3 linked regions of the Caenorhabditis elegans genome follow. The protein of the gene in region 1 purifies or fractionates together with the protein of each later gene. This does not show direct contact. Each region holds a gene or a part of one and is shown in the gene's direction. Other genes may lie near its edges.

What was found.
Region 2: the proteins of ced-4 (region 1) and ant-1.3 purify together in Caenorhabditis elegans (affinity purification with mass spectrometry, with the first as the bait; one study listed by BioGRID). This does not show direct contact.
Region 3: the proteins of ced-4 (region 1) and ant-1.4 purify together in Caenorhabditis elegans (affinity purification with mass spectrometry, with the first as the bait; one study listed by BioGRID). This does not show direct contact.

Annotation. Positions count from the first base shown.
Region 1 is NC_003281.10:4,849,058-4,856,890, forward strand, and holds ced-4 (Cell death protein 4), read left to right. Parts: upstream 1-3,267; coding exon 3,268-3,718; intron 3,719-3,769; coding exon 3,770-3,863; intron 3,864-3,908; coding exon 3,909-3,996; coding exon of another isoform or gene 3,997-3,998; intron 3,999-4,116; coding exon 4,117-4,251; intron 4,252-4,301; coding exon 4,302-4,639; intron 4,640-5,196; coding exon 5,197-5,472; intron 5,473-5,520; coding exon 5,521-5,626; intron 5,627-5,672; coding exon 5,673-5,900; downstream 5,901-7,833. Other genes in the region: nonu-1 (Smr domain-containing protein), read right to left, coding at 1-40, 213-323, 372-537, 586-793; F26A1.1 (Non-structural maintenance of chromosomes element 4), read left to right, coding at 1,481-1,483, 1,533-1,584, 1,631-1,699, 1,765-1,866, 1,920-2,428, 2,630-2,725; C35D10.8 (PH domain-containing protein), read left to right, coding at 6,279-6,283, 6,379-6,517, 6,563-6,676, 6,726-6,875, 6,923-7,015; C35D10.7 (ULP_PROTEASE domain-containing protein), read left to right, coding at 7,146-7,172, 7,802-7,833. UniProt on the Caenorhabditis elegans protein: Component of the egl-1, ced-9, ced-4 and ced-3 apoptotic signaling cascade required for the initiation of programmed cell death in cells fated to die during embryonic and postembryonic development.
Region 2 is NC_003282.8:9,707,668-9,712,391, reverse strand, and holds ant-1.3 (ADP/ATP translocase), read left to right. Parts: upstream 1-3,086; 5' UTR 3,087-3,133; coding exon 3,134-3,143; intron 3,144-3,199; coding exon 3,200-3,761; intron 3,762-3,805; coding exon 3,806-4,175; 3' UTR 4,176-4,224; downstream 4,225-4,724. Other genes in the region: nhr-38 (Nuclear receptor domain-containing protein), read right to left, coding at 92-186, 236-420, 467-543, 591-698, 741-890, 1,081-1,223, 1,268-1,342, 1,390-1,550 and 1 more.
Region 3 is NC_003282.8:8,458,678-8,463,798, reverse strand, and holds ant-1.4 (ADP/ATP translocase), read left to right. Parts: upstream 1-3,490; 5' UTR 3,491-3,521; coding exon 3,522-3,531; intron 3,532-3,595; coding exon 3,596-4,157; intron 4,158-4,202; coding exon 4,203-4,572; 3' UTR 4,573-4,621; downstream 4,622-5,121. Other genes in the region: str-176 (Major facilitator superfamily (MFS) profile domain-containing protein), read left to right, coding at 1-237, 1,055-1,185, 1,279-1,520, 1,577-1,756, 1,810-2,058, 2,104-2,191, 2,237-2,560, 2,606-2,761; syx-4 (Putative syntaxin-4), read right to left, coding at 4,962-5,121.

The DNA of each region.
Region 1 (7,833 bases):
GACACTGGTAATCTCCGTATCGATGTGGAAATTTGAAATTCTGAAAATTGTATTTTTAATGTTCAAATTACACGCTTGCCAAATATATTAAAATTACGTGGTGCCAGAGTGTTCAACATGGTCAAAAGCGTGCCACATCACTATTCTATGGTTTAAAAAAACTTTAGATGAAAATGTGGGAAAGCCTGACACCAACTGAGCTTTTGGCTTACTTTACTGAAGCTTCTCCACCAATTACTAAATGTTCCCAGCCGAGTTGATTTTCTTTTAATTGCATGATTTTCGACTCGATAGACCCGATCTCTTCATCTTTTTCGCTTCTTCTGTAAAATGAAATATTTAGAAGAAAATTCAGGAATTAAAACTCAAACTTTTTGCATTCAATTGCATCGTGTCTCCAATCCGTGTCCGGCTCCAACACGAAAATTTCGTAGTGGCCATTAACCGCTAACTCTGCGAATTTTTTAACACTTGATCGTTGTACGTTCTCCTCGTCTACAACGATAAGATGTTTATCTTCATCGATAAATTTTCGCACTGAAATTAATTTTTATTATGTACACAAACAATGTTTAAATTAAATACCTGATCTTGTTATATTATTGGAAACATCGTTTTTCACAATAACGCCGTTTTCGGAATGGTTTACCAACTCTCGAGCTAATGTTGATTTTCCGGATCCCGTAACTCCGCGAATTAAAATAATTGTGCGATGACCTTCGACAAGGCATTTTTGAATATCCGATATCTCAGCATCGAAATTAAAACACTGTTCATGCTTTCGTGGTGACATTGTTGGCTGATCACTGAAAACTTTTTTTCATAAAACGAGTGATAGATTTTTAATAATGATTTTTCAGGCTTGCGTCGTCTATCACGTGAAATTGGGGAGAGCAAGACGCAGAGATGGAAAGAAAACTGGGTAGAAGTCACAATCCACGCACACTTCGTGAAGACATATGAATTGTGGAAAAGGACGTGTTAAAGCCCGTCCCCTTTTTCAAAATGAAAGTTATGAAAATGTGTCGAAGTTTCGACACATTTTTTTTTCGCGAAACAATGTTTTAATTATGAATAAAGAAGGAATCTGGGCGCAATATATACAAAGCCGGTTATTAGACACCAGAGCTTTATTGTTGCTTTCATTTTCTACCGATGGGTCTAAAATACAGGAAAAAGGAAAATAAAACATAAAAAAACCATTTCAAAATCATAAAGTTTACACTTTTAAATTCAAAAAATAAACAAAAATGTGTTTCTGTGCAAACACTCGACGGCTTATGGTACCAATGCACCTGATTTGACGACGATTGATATTCCCGGCAATTCGAATTGCAAAGCGGAGCAGCTTGCTCTTTGTTTGCTTCATTTAAATAATATTTTATAACTCTTCACTTTTTCTAACAATTACTTTTTATAAAACATTAAAGTTCCGATAAACATTTACAGCTGTCACTCAATTAACCTATAACAATCCTGGATGGTGAGAGACTAGTATTTTAAAACATTTTTAATTGAATATATTATTCCAGGACGTTGGAATTGCGAGTACATCTAACACAAACGATGTGGAGTTTGACGATGGTATATATTATTGATTAACATTCACATGATAATGGTTTTCTTTCAGATTTCATCCGACATGCTCGTCACATGCCGATCAATAAATTAATTGAAGAGCTGGCAATGTTGGAACACGGTAAACCAGCTGTCAAGATTATCTTTTATTGATTTTATTTTAATTATTAAATTTAAATGTTTCAGACAATCATCCACTTTTACATACTGCTCGCCGGAACTTCGATAAAGATAGAAAAGTCCAGAAGGATCGAATTGAGTGCCATCGCGCGAGAGCCGAACTAAAAGGTATCTTTTGAATTGTTGAAAACTTTGAAAAGCTCAAAATACAAATTCTTTAGCAAAAAATGATTTCAATACAAGAAGTGCCGCAGATCAAGCAGAATGCACATTGCGGTTAACGGAATTGCTAGACGAATTCACGAAAAGGAGTGATGAAATGGACAAAACAGTTTTGCATGAATACGGAGTCATCGATATTCATAAACAACAGTCAGCTCCGCCTGTGTTCGAGTCCAACAAGAAAACTCTGCGAGGACGTGGAGGAGGACAGCTTGTTGAGCCAGTCACTTACTTCAATTCAAATCAGAATACTCGAATACCTGAATTCAAGCTGAATTTGTCTTTCGAAAATCCGAGAATTCGACAAGAGTTGGATATTATTATGAATCGGCCGAATTCGCGTCGAATCATTGTCTGTTCGGTATCGATTCAGAAACCGAAACTTGTGATCGATAACAAGTCATTCAAACACGGCGAAGATGTCTATGCGTATAACAGAATATTTGGAGAAATGCTCGCAAAACTCGAAATTGTCACCGATAAAATGATTAACTTGAAAGGGGCTAATGTAAGTTATCTGATGTTTCTACAATTAAAAAAATTGTTTTTTTTTCCAAATTAATTTTCGAAGATTAACGAAAAACGATTAAAAATCAATAAAACGCAATAAAGAGGGCTTGGCTTTCTTTTTAATTTAAATTATAATTTTTCTGATTGTTGTATGAAGCTACAAAATGTACTGTTTTTGTATTTGAATATTGTATTACAGGGTTGGGATTCTCGGCAAATATCAGCGACAGTGGAAGATTTAGAAGAAGGACGTGTGACAATCACTAAGCAAAGAGGAAAGGATAAAGGATTGTGATATTTCACTGTTTTACTCATTCGCTTTTTAAATAAGAACTATATGCCGATTTGCCGATATATTTTTGTTTATTAGGCCTCTCACATTCCTGTACAATGTTTCTACCAAATAAACTGCATTTTTATCTGAAAATTCGAATTTATTTTTGTCTACTTTTTACTCGTTGCATTCGAGATCAGCATATCTTCCGGTCTATTTATATTCAACGATTTTTATAAATTAGTACTCCTTCATGTTTAATTTCATTTTATCTGTAAGCTTTACTGTATTTTTTTAAAATCTTTCTTGCTTCTATCTGATTATACAATGTTCTTTACTCATTTTCAAGGTATTTTTATGCCTCACAATTTATGCACATTTCGGGCTTGGAGATTTATCCTCTATATTACATGCCTGTTTTTTTAAAGTGTATATAATGTTTAACAAATAATTTTTTATCAATGCTATTGTATATTCTCCAGCTAACCGTTGTTTCGAAAACATCACCTAGCATTTTAAAATTCACAAAATCTTGCTTCCTTATAATCAAGAAGATTTTTCAGATGCTCTGCGAAATCGAATGCCGCGCTTTGAGCACGGCACACACGAGGCTCATCCACGACTTTGAACCACGTGACGCATTGACTTATTTAGAAGGCAAAAACATTTTCACAGAAGATCATTCTGAACTTATCAGTAAAATGTCAACTCGCCTCGAGAGGATCGCCAATTTTCTTCGAATCTATCGACGTCAAGCTTCTGAACTTGGACCACTCATCGACTTTTTCAACTACAACAATCAAAGTCACCTTGCTGATTTCCTCGAAGACTACATCGATTTTGCGATAAATGAGCCAGATCTACTTCGTCCAGTAGTGATTGCTCCACAATTTTCCCGACAAATGCTCGATAGGAAACTATTGCTTGGGAATGTTCCAAAACAAATGACATGCTATATTCGAGAGTATCACGTGGATCGAGTGATCAAAAAGCTCGACGAGATGTGTGATTTAGGTGAGAAAACTGGAAGCTCTCGTGTTTATTATAATCTTGCTTAAACTTCAGACTCCTTTTTTCTGTTTCTACACGGCCGAGCTGGATCCGGAAAATCAGTAATTGCATCACAAGCTCTTTCGAAATCTGACCAACTTATTGGAATGTGAGTGGTATTATCTGAATCCTACGGATCTTCATTCTATTACAGAAATTATGATTCAATCGTTTGGCTCAAAGATAGTGGAACAGCTCCAAAATCTACATTCGATTTATTTACGGATATTTTGCTGATGCTAAAGTGAGTGAATAGAGTGCATGTAACATTCAGCATGATTTTGAAATTATGAAAATTTGACCTGGTTAGCTTTTAATTTGATATTTCGTGACGCTTGCATGTTTTGTGTGTTTGAAGACGAGCCCGTGTTGTGAGCGACACGGATGACTCGCATTCGATCACCGACTTCATTAACCGTGTTCTTTCAAGAAGCGAAGACGATCTTCTCAATTTCCCATCGGTGGAGCATGTCACGTCAGTTGTACTCAAAAGGATGGTAAGTTGCTTGCCGATTCTGGTACAATATCTTAAATTATTGGTTTTTAGATCTGCAACGCACTCATTGATCGTCCAAATACTTTATTCGTATTTGATGACGTAGTTCAAGAAGAAACAATTCGTTGGGCTCAGGAGCTACGTCTTCGATGTCTTGTAACTACTCGTGACGTGGAAATATCAAATGCTGCTTCTCAAACATGCGAATTCATTGAAGTGACATCATTGGAAATCGATGAATGTTATGATTTTCTAGAAGCTTATGGAATGCCGATGCCTGTTGGAGAAAAAGAAGAAGATGTGCTTAATAAAACAATCGAACTAAGCAGTGGAAATCCAGCAACGCTTATGATGTTTTTCAAGTCTTGTGAACCGAAAACATTTGAAAAGTGAGTGGGACATACCAATTTGAGACTTTTAAAATAATTTATTCTACAATAAAAGTTAATCAAAAAGTTTCATAGCTGATTGTCTTTAAATTTTACGAATTGAGGATCAAAATCAAGAATTAGGATCCTGGCACGAGAGAAAACTGTGTAGCTACCGTACCCGAGAGATTTTCTTGATATTTGCCATCGATTTAATTTTTTAAGAAAATTATCGTTTTACATAATTGAACAAGAGATACACGGTCTCGACCCGACGGAAATTTTTTAAATGAAAGCGAGTATGAGCCTGTTTTCATTATTTTTCGATTTTCTCTTGTTGTTTCTTTTTATTTAAAGCCTTTTATTTTGAAACAAGTCTAAAAATATTAAAAACTGAATAAAATATTTAAAAAAAATCAAGTAAAATAGAAAAACAGCAAGGCTGGAGACTACTGTACTTCTTAAATCCGCATACTCTTTTTATTTAATCATTTTCCGGAATGTCGAAACGAAATAATACATTTTTAGTCCAAAATCGCTAGGTATATTCTTAAAATTATCAAACATTTTGCATTCAGAATGGCACAGCTTAATAACAAATTGGAAAGTCGAGGATTAGTCGGTGTTGAATGTATCACCCCTTACTCGTACAAGTCACTCGCAATGGCTCTTCAAAGATGTGTTGAAGTTTTGTCAGATGAGGATCGAAGTGCTCTTGCTTTCGCAGTTGTGATGCCTCCTGGAGTTGATATACCCGTCAAGCTATGGTCATGTGTTATTCCAGTTGATATTTGTTCAAATGAAGAAGAACAATTGGATGATGAAGTTGCGGATCGGTTGAAAAGACTCAGCAAGTATGAGTCTTGAAATTTGAAGATTTAAATTAACACTTAAAATTTCAGACGTGGAGCTCTTCTCAGTGGAAAACGAATGCCCGTTTTGACATTCAAAATTGATCATATTATCCATATGTTCTTGAAACACGTCGTTGATGCACAAACTATCGCCGTATGCTGAAAATGTCTCAACTTTCAATTAAATTTTAAATTTTCAGAATGGAATCTCAATTCTCGAGCAGCGTCTTCTTGAAATAGGAAACAATAATGTATCAGTACCGGAGCGACATATACCATCACATTTCCAAAAATTCCGTCGTTCATCAGCCAGTGAGATGTATCCAAAAACTACAGAAGAAACTGTGATCCGTCCTGAAGACTTCCCAAAGTTCATGCAATTGCACCAGAAATTCTATGACTCCCTCAAAAATTTTGCATGCTGTTAAAACCTATCGTGTACAATATTGCCTGTATATTCCCCTCGAAATACGTTTATACTTTTTCGCACGAGTTTTCTCATTTTTTCATTTGTACTTGTTTTATTTCTCTCCAAAATTTCAGATCTATCCCAAATGTTCTTAAATTTAATGTTTTCTACAGATACTCAACACATCTTGTTTCATCTCATCCTTGCTTTTTTTTTTCAAATATATTCAGTTTCTTTTATAATTTTAATTAATCGAATTAATACATTCACGTAAAGAATTTCGTGGACTATTATTTTATCGCATCCAAATGATTTATTCCCTATTGTTCGAAACTTCCAAATTGATCATTTTTAAACACGCCTCATTAAATTGAAAGTCGTACTTTTAGTCTCGAACATGAAGTAAGTTATTTTCTGTGTTCTAAATTCAAAGTGCATTCCAAAAGGACATTTGATGAGTTTTCACGAAAACCGTAATTTTTACAATTTCCTTTCAGTTTTGAAGATGTTCGATTTCTTTCCTCTGTTGGCGTCATTACTACATTTGCTTTGCTGCTTCACTTTATCGAGATTCTTGCCATCAATGGAGTTCCATCTAGACCGATAGCAGTCTTCATATCATTATCCCTGTATATTGTACTGTTTCAGTATTTTAACTTATCGATTACGTACTATTTTCAGTGGTTCACTGTTTTCGGTCAATGGGTGACACGTGCTCGACGAGCAATTTTCAACGAACGCAATCTCCTAGTCACTTATCAACCAAGAGCCCTCACCCATGGACATCTCTTTGTGGTATTTGCATGATTCAACGAAGTTTTAGTCTTAAGATTCATGATTTCAGCCAGATCCGCCGACGCCTTGTCGTCTGTCCATTACACCATGTGAATCGGGAAGTGACACGGAGTTCAAGAATGCACGGGATGCTCATTACAAAGATGAATTTCATAGAGCGATTAAAATGGCAAACGAACGACTAGTAATTCGACAAGAGGTTCAAATATTATTTATTTACATTTTTAATACTGGAAATGCTTTCAGAGTACCCAAATCATGAGAATGGAATTCAATACTGATACAAGCTCGCCACCAACATCTCCGGACAAGTCAGAAAAATCACCCGAATTCTTCTAAGATTGACTTCAATAAAATTATTATTTTTCGTTTTGTTGTTAGATATACCATTTTAAACAGTTTCGGTCTGAAAATATCGGAATGTTGGTCTTCTTCTTTCATTCTTATTTACTATTTCAGGCGAGAAATCATGCACCAAAATAACGGAGATTATCGGGTAAATAATAATAAATGTTTACTAAAAGCTACAGTACTTTTGCATCCTTCAAGGGAGGTGCATTCATGCGGAAGAGTCTCGCAGCGAAAACGCGATAGCGCTTACTGTAGAATTTCAGTTTGGAAGATTCGAGTTTTTTGGGCCTCCATTTTTCCTTCTTTTATTGAATTTTCTCAGTTTCTTCGGCAAGGTTCATTAAGTACAGTTAGCCATCAATTTTTCTATTATTATGTTCATTCTGAATGAATGCACACGCTTTCGAAAAGAGATAAGAACATTTATTTCAATTACTCTGCAGGAAGGTAGAATCAATGCAAGTGAAAGCGCGCGAAACATGTGTTTTCAAAATCTATGACGAAATCTCTATGTTCTAGGTGTGGAAACCCGCAGTTTCTTTTAAACAAAAGTTAATATTGTTGTTTTATTAACACCCCCTTTGAAATTTAACTCGGTCTACCCATTTTCCTACACGACTTTGCTTCTTTTTGTTAATTTTTCTGATTTTTTAGCATTCAAGAGAGCCAGTTAACATTTTTAAAACTATTTGGTATCTATAGTTTTTTCCAAACAAATATTCTCATCGTGTAAAAAATTTTCTCATTGAATTCTAAAGCTTTGATGTTTTTCAGGTCAGAGGATCTCGTCCATCGAGAAGTTCTGA
Region 2 (4,724 bases), on another chromosome or scaffold:
ACTTTTGAGAAGTACAAATTTAGTTTTGAGAAGTTCATATCAGCTGTTTAATTTTTAGAAACATTTCTTCAAAAAAATCGATTTATTCAAGTTATAAAATGCTTGAGATTGCATCTTTGAACGCCCGAGTTCCTTGATGAATTTGGGCAGATGTGTTCTGGATTTGTTCAAATGAAACAGGATCTACTGAAAATAAATTGTTGAATTAGTTTGAAATATTTTTAGAAATTGTTACCTCTGTTCAAATCTGTCAAAAGACTATCCCGATTCACATCAGCAAAACAATGTCGAAAATTGATTGGAACTGCTTCCGTTATGCATTTATAGAATAAAATGGATAAAAGTGGTTCATCGAAATTGCATGATTGAAACGATCGTGATACCAATTGAACAAGGAAACTAAATGAATTCAGAATGTTTCTGGAAATATCACATTTTTAGTTATTTCAGAATTAAGTTATAATACCTGTATGGGTTCAAATTGACATGTTGCTCACACTCCATAAACTCCAAAAATGGTTGCTCACTCAAATCAATATGGACCTAAGATATATATTTTTTAATTATGTCTTTGTTTTAATAAAACAAACCATATTTGGCAGAAACAGTCTATCTAGTTGGATTCCACCTTTTGTAGCAGTCAAAACACATGCTTCAAAGACAAAAACCAATAGGAATATGTCACCGAGTGGGTCGCTCTGTAAAGTTAATTTTCATATTAGTTAGTTGAAAATTATTACCATGAAATTATTATCCAAGCTCCCAAAGTGTGCGTAAAAATGTTCGATAACTTGCATGATCAAGGGAGATCCAGTTGATATTCTTCGCATAATTTCGTATTCTTGGTGGAGAGAAATTTTCAAGTTTGTACGAGTTGTTGATCGGGAAATCTGAAATTAATTGAAAAATTTAAATTAATGTAGAGAGAAGAAGAGAATACCTAGATTTATTCTACTTACAACAGATTTTTCAAATATTGAATAAACCGTTATTTATTCAAGATTATTCCATAATCTTAGTAAATATGAGTTAAGCTCTTATTTACCCTTAAAATCTCAATTCTTTCAAATCTCTACGTACCAAATCGAAAATCGGCCTTTCAGCTGCAATACTTCTGCGAAAAGCAATAATTTGATCGATTAGTAGAATGGAACTTTGATTCATATTTCGGTAAAGAGACGTGACATTTTGTTGTGATGAAGAAGTTCTTTTGGCTTTTACGTCTGGAAATTTGAAAATTTGATATTATTTTGAATATATAAATTACCTTGAGGCATCATTCCACTGCTCACACACTTCAAAAATCTGCAGAATCTGCAGCTTCCACCTCTCTTTGTTGGATCTTTAATTCTTTTTGTTACATTTATATTTTGTTCAACTTTAGATTACCGTGTACAATACTACATTGTCTATTAGAACATGAGTATACTTTTTGATCAGAAACACTGCGTCGGAAGAATGCACCACATGCAGCACAGCTTATTGCTCCAAAATGATATCCTTCGGCTTTATCCGAGCAAATTGAGCAGATCATCTCTTGAGGTGCTGAGCTGGAATTAAATTATGAATTGAGGGTTAGAAGGTGGAGATTTTGAAAATCTATTTTAATTCTTTTTTGTGTATTTTTAAAGCAAATACCGAGTAAAATGAAGAATAGAATGTGAGAATTAGATTGAACAGATATGTTATAGAGTGAACAAAAGCAACTGGATTCAGCCGTGAGAGCCTGCCTACATGGCTAAGTTTGCAAACCGGCAGGCTTTTTGACCCATTTTAAAATTGAATTAAACCTTTTTTTCAAATGTAAATTTTTGAAACTGATGCTCTTTCCAGATTTTATTGCAATCAGCTTGTAATCAATGTCATATTGTTGGAAATATAATATCACTTTGCAAAAAAAATATCATAAAACTATTCGATATTAAAACCATCTAAACATACATATTTGTGTTATTTTTCTAATTATATTTTCATTTCTCTTTTCATCGACGCTTTTCCTTGTGGAATAACCACTGAAAATAACTAAAACTATTACAAAACTCAAACAAAATCCTAATTCCAATTTCTGATAAAAACACATAGACCTACCTGTTCCACACTACTTGACTGTCATCCATCATCCAGTAACACTGATTATCAAAGCTTGAACAGTATAGACTCATGTAAGGTCACCTCAATAACTTAGAAGCTCAAATTTGCTTTATTTTGCTCAAAGTTCGAAGTGAAATAGATAAGTCTACAAATTTTTATACTACATCTGATAATCTTGGATAACAAGGTTCAGTTGCCTCCTCCTCTTCTTATCTCCATCTGATAAGCTTTTTGGGAGGGGTTTTCAGATTGAAGATGAGTGAAGAAGGTTTTAAAATACTTTTTAAAACTGGAATGACACACAGATTTGGACCCAATACGTACCAGATGCTGATTCATACTAATGAAGTTGTCTAGTATGAAGAAGCTTTTTGGTTTAAAATGATTGCGATTATGTGACGAAACGATAAACATATGTTTTAAGAGGATAAGGCTAGAAGAAGGAAGTTAATCTATTTTTGTATGATAACAGTGTTTTGTCACCTGTTTCATGTTGAAAATATCATTAGAATGCTCAACTTATTGATGACTTCGCAATTAAAAGAGGTGCATCCGAAAATAATTCACATATTCAAATGAAAACAAAAATAATTTCTTTCCGCTAATTTTGGGATTTTCACCTCGATTCCACATGAACAAAATTTTTCAAACCCGTGGGTCTAAATTTCGAGCAAGGAAAGAGTGCGCGTTTGAATGCTACAGTAACCCGCTCCGTTGCGGAATTCTTTGATTTTTCTGTTTCTTTTTCTTTTAGAACACTTTCACAGTGAAATCAAGCAATTTATACGCGATATTAAAAAAAAAGAATATTTTTAAATAATCTTTTATGCTTTTAAAAATATGTTTAAAAACGTGAAAATATATTTACGAGAACGTGAAAAACAGAAATATGAGTTTTGGAGTAGCATTTTGCATTATTCACGTGACCTCGGTTAAAGAAGCGCTTTTGCCACGTTTCACTGTCGATTTTTAATCGAAGGGCTCACTTTAGAATCAGTTCCGGTTTTCAACCGCTTGGATATCCAGCAGCACTACTGCAAGCATGACTGGAGGTAAGTAAATCTTAATCGATATTTCTGGTTTTAATTTAATATTTGTATTCTTTCAGGAGGAGATTCAAAGCCTATTGAAAAGAAGAAGGAGGATAAGAAAGGTTTCGATACCCGAAAATTCTTGATTGATCTCGCCTCGGGAGGAACTGCTGCCGCTGTCTCCAAGACTGCTGTGGCTCCGATTGAACGTGTCAAGCTTCTTTTGCAAGTACAGGATGCTTCCCTAACTATCGCCGCCGATAAACGTTACAAAGGAATCGTCGATGTCCTCGTTCGTGTCCCGAAAGAGCAAGGATATGCTGCTCTCTGGAGAGGAAACTTGGCCAATGTCATCCGATACTTCCCAACCCAGGCGCTGAACTTCGCATTCAAGGATACATACAAAAACATTTTCCAAAAGGGATTGGACAAGAAGAAGGATTTTTGGAAGTTCTTCGCCGGGAATCTCGCTTCTGGTGGAGCTGCCGGAGCAACTTCTCTCTGCTTCGTCTACCCATTGGATTTCGCTCGTACCCGCTTGGCTGCTGACGTCGGAAAAGCTAATGAACGTGAATTCAAAGGTCTGGCTGATTGTCTCGTCAAGATTGCAAAATCGGATGGTCCAATCGGACTCTACAGGTATTTTTTCCATTTTTATAATATAAGCAAACATTAATTTTCAGAGGATTCTTTGTTTCTGTACAAGGTATCATCATCTACCGTGCCGCTTACTTCGGAATGTTCGACACTGCCAAGATGGTATTCACTGCTGATGGCAAGAAACTCAACTTCTTCGCCGCCTGGGCTATTGCTCAAGTCGTCACCGTCGGATCTGGAATCATTTCCTATCCATGGGATACTGTTCGCCGTCGCATGATGATGCAGTCTGGTCGCAAAGATGTTCTCTACAAGAATACCTTGGATTGTGCTGTCAAGATCATCAAAAACGAAGGAATGTCTGCCATGTTCAAGGGAGCTCTGTCGAATGTGTTCCGTGGAACTGGTGGAGCACTCGTTCTGGCCATCTACGATGAAATCCAGAAGTTCATTTAAAGTCTTGAATTGTTTTTGTAATTTTAGTAAAATTATTTTAATTGAAATCTTCTATTTGTTACTCAACAAACTAAACACAGCGTCTCAATCTCTTCATTCAGAAAATATTTTTCTTTAGCATTTTCAGTATCGAACATTCTCATGCAATTTAACAAGGTAACTTCAATGAATCAACTGAGTTCTAGTTAGAATCGCATCATTTTGCAAACAAAATCCTCAAGCTTCCTTTTTCTAGAGAGATCCTCTTATCTCCTCTTGGCCGTTTCGTCACATAGTCACAATCATTTTAAACCTAAAAGCTCTTTTTATAAATACTATTAGTGTGATTCAGCAAATTGATATGGTCTAAAGCTGTGTCTTTCCAAATTCAACATTATTTGTCTTCAAGAAAAATTGCGGTTTTTTTTCACTTCTGTAAATTTCAACTTTTCTGGAATGCTAATTCGGAACAACATATCACGGAAGATTTACTCGCGAAACCCGTATCAATAAATCACGGAAGAAAAAGAATTTCACAGAAACTCTAATAACTAATATTCACAAAAATTA
Region 3 (5,121 bases), on another chromosome or scaffold:
CATCGTCGTCTAGCTCCAGCTTGGAACAGGAAACACTTTTGAAACCAGAGGATGTGGAAGCAGTTGTTCAGACTCCAATTGTACCCAAAAAATCATTGGAAATGATGGTTGAAGAGAAAAAAGTTGGAAGTTTGGATGATTTTATCACCCTTCGGTGGTACTGTATGCTGGTACTGCTCATGGCAGAATTGACAGCTTTCACAGCAACTGCAAGCAGTAAAGTCATGGTTTTTGCAGGTATTCATGATTTAGATTGCTCGGTTGTTTGAGTTTTAAAATAATGTATGGGTAGTTTGATCGGCAAGCTATGCGTAGATATTTCTCATGGCGGGTTTCTTCATGCCTATAGGCAAGCGGATAGGCTCTAAATGGAGTTGCTTCATCAAAAAATGTTCATCTTTCTTGAACCCTTTGCAATTTTCAAACTAATGATCCGAAAACTAGTTATTAGAATCATCTTTGTATTTATTTCATGTCTAATGGTAAACAGTCCACCTGTCAGGTCAGAAGAAGTGATTATGACAGATTGAGTATGAAAACCGTCAGATTCACGTGAAATGATAGTCCAAGGTAACACGAGAAAGTAATTAAAAGGGTGGGTCTATTGATCTCGCCTGGTTTTTGCGGCTACAGTGTTCTCTACTAGTGCTAAAACGATAAAAATCATAATAAAACTAACTTTTCGAAAGCTTTTTGAAACGCTTTATTTACAATAAAATTTTGGCGAAAATCCAGTGCCCTCTCATAATTTAGTAAATTGACCAAAGAAAAGTTTTCTACGAGTTCCTGAAATTACTCAAATACCCCAAATTTTTCACAAAATTTGGCAATTTACTAAATTATGGATAAAACTTTTGAAAAATCTGAAAATTGTATTCGGTTGTTTTAGACGATAAAAAGTGTAATTTGACTGAATCCTCACTGATAATACAACATTTAGAAAAATTTAAAAGAGTAAACAACGAGTTTTTGTTTATTTCATCTACAAAAAGAGTTCTTATCAAAACGTTCGAAGTTCCTATAAGACAATCAATCATAAAACTATCAATTTTAGGTGCAAATCCTGCTGTCATCGGATGTGGAGGAACACCGCTAAACGGATGTCACGAATTGGCAGCATTTCGGAATGAGACCAATCTATGTGAACCTGATCTTAGATATCAGTTTAAATCAGTTCAAGTAGAGGTAGGTATAAAATAAAAATCTCAGTAAAGTAAGGAATTAGATATGAATAGTGAAGGCAACCGATTATACACTCAAACGAACAATTTAATTCAGTTCAATTATATATGCGAAGATGCTAAAAAAGTAAAGAATACGATCACAGTTCAAACGTTCGGTGTCCTTGTTGGAGCAGCCATTTTTGGACAAGTTTCAGACACATTTGGAAGACGTAAAGCTTTACTTATTTCTACATTGGGAAATGGACTATTTAATTGGATCACTGCGTATTCTCCTGATTTGTTTTATTTTATGGTTTGGAGAACTTTGGCTGGAGTTTTCACAGGAGGGGTTACTGTGTAAGTTCCTTTATTCATTTTTCAGAACAAAAATAACTATGAATTAAACTTTTAAGTGTTCAAATGGTTTTTATGGTCGAAAATATTCCACGCAAGGATCGTATGTGGATTCAAAACTCAATCACATGGTCTCCAAATCTAATTCTATTCCCATTCGTTGCATGGCTTTGTCAAGATTGGAGAACAATGTCCGTTGTTATTGCAGCTTCTTCTATTGCAACATTTTTAGCTTGTTTGTAAGTTTTACCGATACTTGTTATATTTCAAAGCTCCTATCGTAAAATTTCAGAATTCTTGAAGAGTCTCCACGTTGGCTCATTCAAAAAGGACGAATTGAAGAAGCTCGTAAATCACTTATTAGAATTCGAAAGACCGATAAATTATACGATGAGACGTTTGAAAAACAGCTCGATGAAGTGCTTCATGTTGAAGCTGAAAAACACGCAAGAAGCTCGAAAAAAGCGAAGAAGTACACATTTATTCATTTGTTCTGCACATGGAAAATGATTGCACAATCCCTAACTTTTATTACTGGAATGTGAGTTTGAAAAATATATATTTCTGGTTTTATTTTTTATTACAGAACATGTACAACATTTATTGTATATTCATTGATGTACAACATGGAAAAGCTATCTGGATCTTTGTACTGGAATCTTGCAATTATGGGGGTAAGAGTACCTATACAGATTTCCTATTTACCTTATCAATTCTAGGCTTCTCGCTGGATTATAAACATTGCTGTGAGCATAGCTGACTACAAACTTCCATGGTTTGGAAGAAAAATGATCAACCAAATTGCAATGATATGTACACTTTTCGCGCTTCTCATGATTGCCGTTTATCTCTATTTTGGATATAATGGACAATTAATTGCAATCGGAACTGTGGCTGCTGTTTCCATGTGCTCACAACTTTTCATTGCCAAATATATGATGGTTAATGAGCTTTATCCAACTGCCGTCAGAAACTTAGCAGTTTCCGCTGTTTCAACCATGAGCAGAATTGGAAGCATGTTCTCACCACAATTGTTTTATTTGGTAAGCATTTTGTATACTCATCTAAAAATAAGCCTCGAAATTCAGAGTGACTATGCCGAATGGATTCCCTACGCAGTACTATTCTCCTGCCAACTTTATGATTTCATTGTTTTATCTTTATTCCTACCAGAAACAAAAGGAGTTATCTTGGAAAACCATTTACCTCCAAAACATAAAAGAATCTTTGGAAAACGTTCATGATGATGTATTTTCTTTGTATATAAATGTATTAAAATCATTAATTTGTTTCAAACAATGTTGATATCAAATATTAATTTAAGTTTCCTATACTCATCAAAAGATAATTTATTCATCATGGAAAAATGGAAAAGAAAAAACACATAACCGGTTATGATATTTACACGATGAATAGGTTAAAATAAACTCGGCCCGACAGAGCACGAGCTTAAGTGAAAGGGGTAGAGATCAGAATTTAGGTATTTGACAATCAATAAGGGAAAGGAATTGTGATGGGGATAGGAAAAAAACTAGAGTTTCGTACAATGCTGTTCCATATTGGCACGGGAGAAAAAGCTACGACATTTAAGATTTTTAATTTTAAGGAACATTGGACGACGAGACGAGCTAGAAAGCGTAACAAAGTCACTGCTTTGTGGGAAGTGCGCTGAGCCTATGAGGATCTTGTATAGCAGAAATAGTTGGGCTTTGAGGCGGAGAGAGCGAGCTGATGAAATTCCTAGAATTTTTAGGTGGTTTTCGTAGGATTTGGAGAAAGCATTGTGTGTTTGTGGAGCAAAATAGTTTTACATAAACTGTGGAAAATCGGTGAAAAAAGAAGAAAAAGAAAGATGAGTTTTGAAGTGCCATTCAAATTTTCCACGTGACCTCGGTCGAATATATGCGTCTGCCACGTTTCACTGTCGATTATTCACCGAAGAACTCACTTTATAATCAGTTCCGGTTTTCAACCGCTTGGTTATCCAGCAGCACTACTGCAAGCATGTCTGGAGGTAAGTGCATCTATTTCTATTCAGGAAATTATATATTTCTGGTGTTAATTCAAGATTATTCCAGGTGGAGATTCAAAGCCTATCGATAAGAAGAAGGAGGACAAGAAAGGTTTCGATACTCGAAAATTCTTGATTGATCTGGCCTCGGGAGGAACTGCTGCCGCTGTTTCCAAGACTGCTGTTGCTCCGATTGAACGTGTCAAGCTTCTGTTGCAAGTACAGGATGCTTCCCTCACCATTGCTGCCGATAAACGTTACAAAGGAATCGTCGATGTCCTCGTTCGTGTCCCAAAGGAGCAAGGATATGCTGCTCTCTGGAGAGGAAACTTGGCTAACGTCATCCGATACTTCCCGACCCAGGCGCTGAACTTCGCTTTCAAGGATACTTACAAAAACATTTTCCAAAAGGGATTGGATAAGAAGAAGGATTTCTGGAAGTTCTTCGCCGGAAATCTAGCTTCTGGTGGAGCAGCTGGAGCCACTTCGCTCTGTTTTGTCTACCCATTGGATTTTGCTCGTACCCGTTTGGCTGCTGATGTCGGAAAAGCTAATGAACGTGAATTCAAAGGCCTGGCCGATTGTCTCGTCAAGATCGCAAAGTCGGATGGACCAATCGGACTCTACAGGTATTTTTTCTATTTAGAAAATTTAAAAAATTATTATTTTTTCAGAGGTTTCTTTGTCTCGGTACAAGGTATCATCATCTACCGCGCCGCTTACTTCGGAATGTTCGACACTGCCAAGATGGTGTTCACTGCTGATGGCAAGAAACTCAACTTCTTCGCTGCCTGGGCTATTGCTCAAGTGGTTACTGTTGGATCTGGAATCCTCTCCTATCCATGGGATACTGTTCGTCGTCGCATGATGATGCAGTCTGGTCGCAAAGATGTTCTCTACAAGAATACTTTGGATTGTGCCGTCAAGATCATCAAAAACGAAGGAATGTCCGCCATGTTCAAGGGAGCCCTGTCAAATGTATTCCGTGGAACTGGTGGAGCACTCGTTCTTGCCATCTACGATGAAATCCAAAAGTTCATTTAATGATCTTCAATTGTTTTTGTATTTTTATTTAGTAAAATTATTTTAATTGAAATCGTTTTGTTACTCAAAAAGAGAAACTCTTTTCATGAAAAAATCAATGAACTACGGTCATTTTTGGTCTCTCTGAACAATGAGGAAACCAATGAGGAAAAACAATGTACTTATTTGATATTTAAAATAACCTACGATCTAGACTATTTCTCAATTTTATTTAATTACCAGTTAGTCAAAATTAGGGTTTCCATCAATTTAGCTCTGAAATTGAGCTTGTGAGCCAAAACTGTTCCGATATTGGCAGAAAAACGTTTATTCGTATAAATACTGTAGAAACTTGGAAAAATAATCGAAAAAAAATCACAAAAAATAGACCCGAAGGAATTAAAATAGCATTATTTCCAACCCGGGATGATTGCACCGAGGAAATGGGAGAGAAGGTAGACGACAACGAGCAGGAGCACGATCAGCGCGATGCACGTAACGATCTTCCATTTACGGTTCTTCCGACGCAGCACAACAGCCTGCCGCACGTTCTGCTGGGCTTGCTCCGCA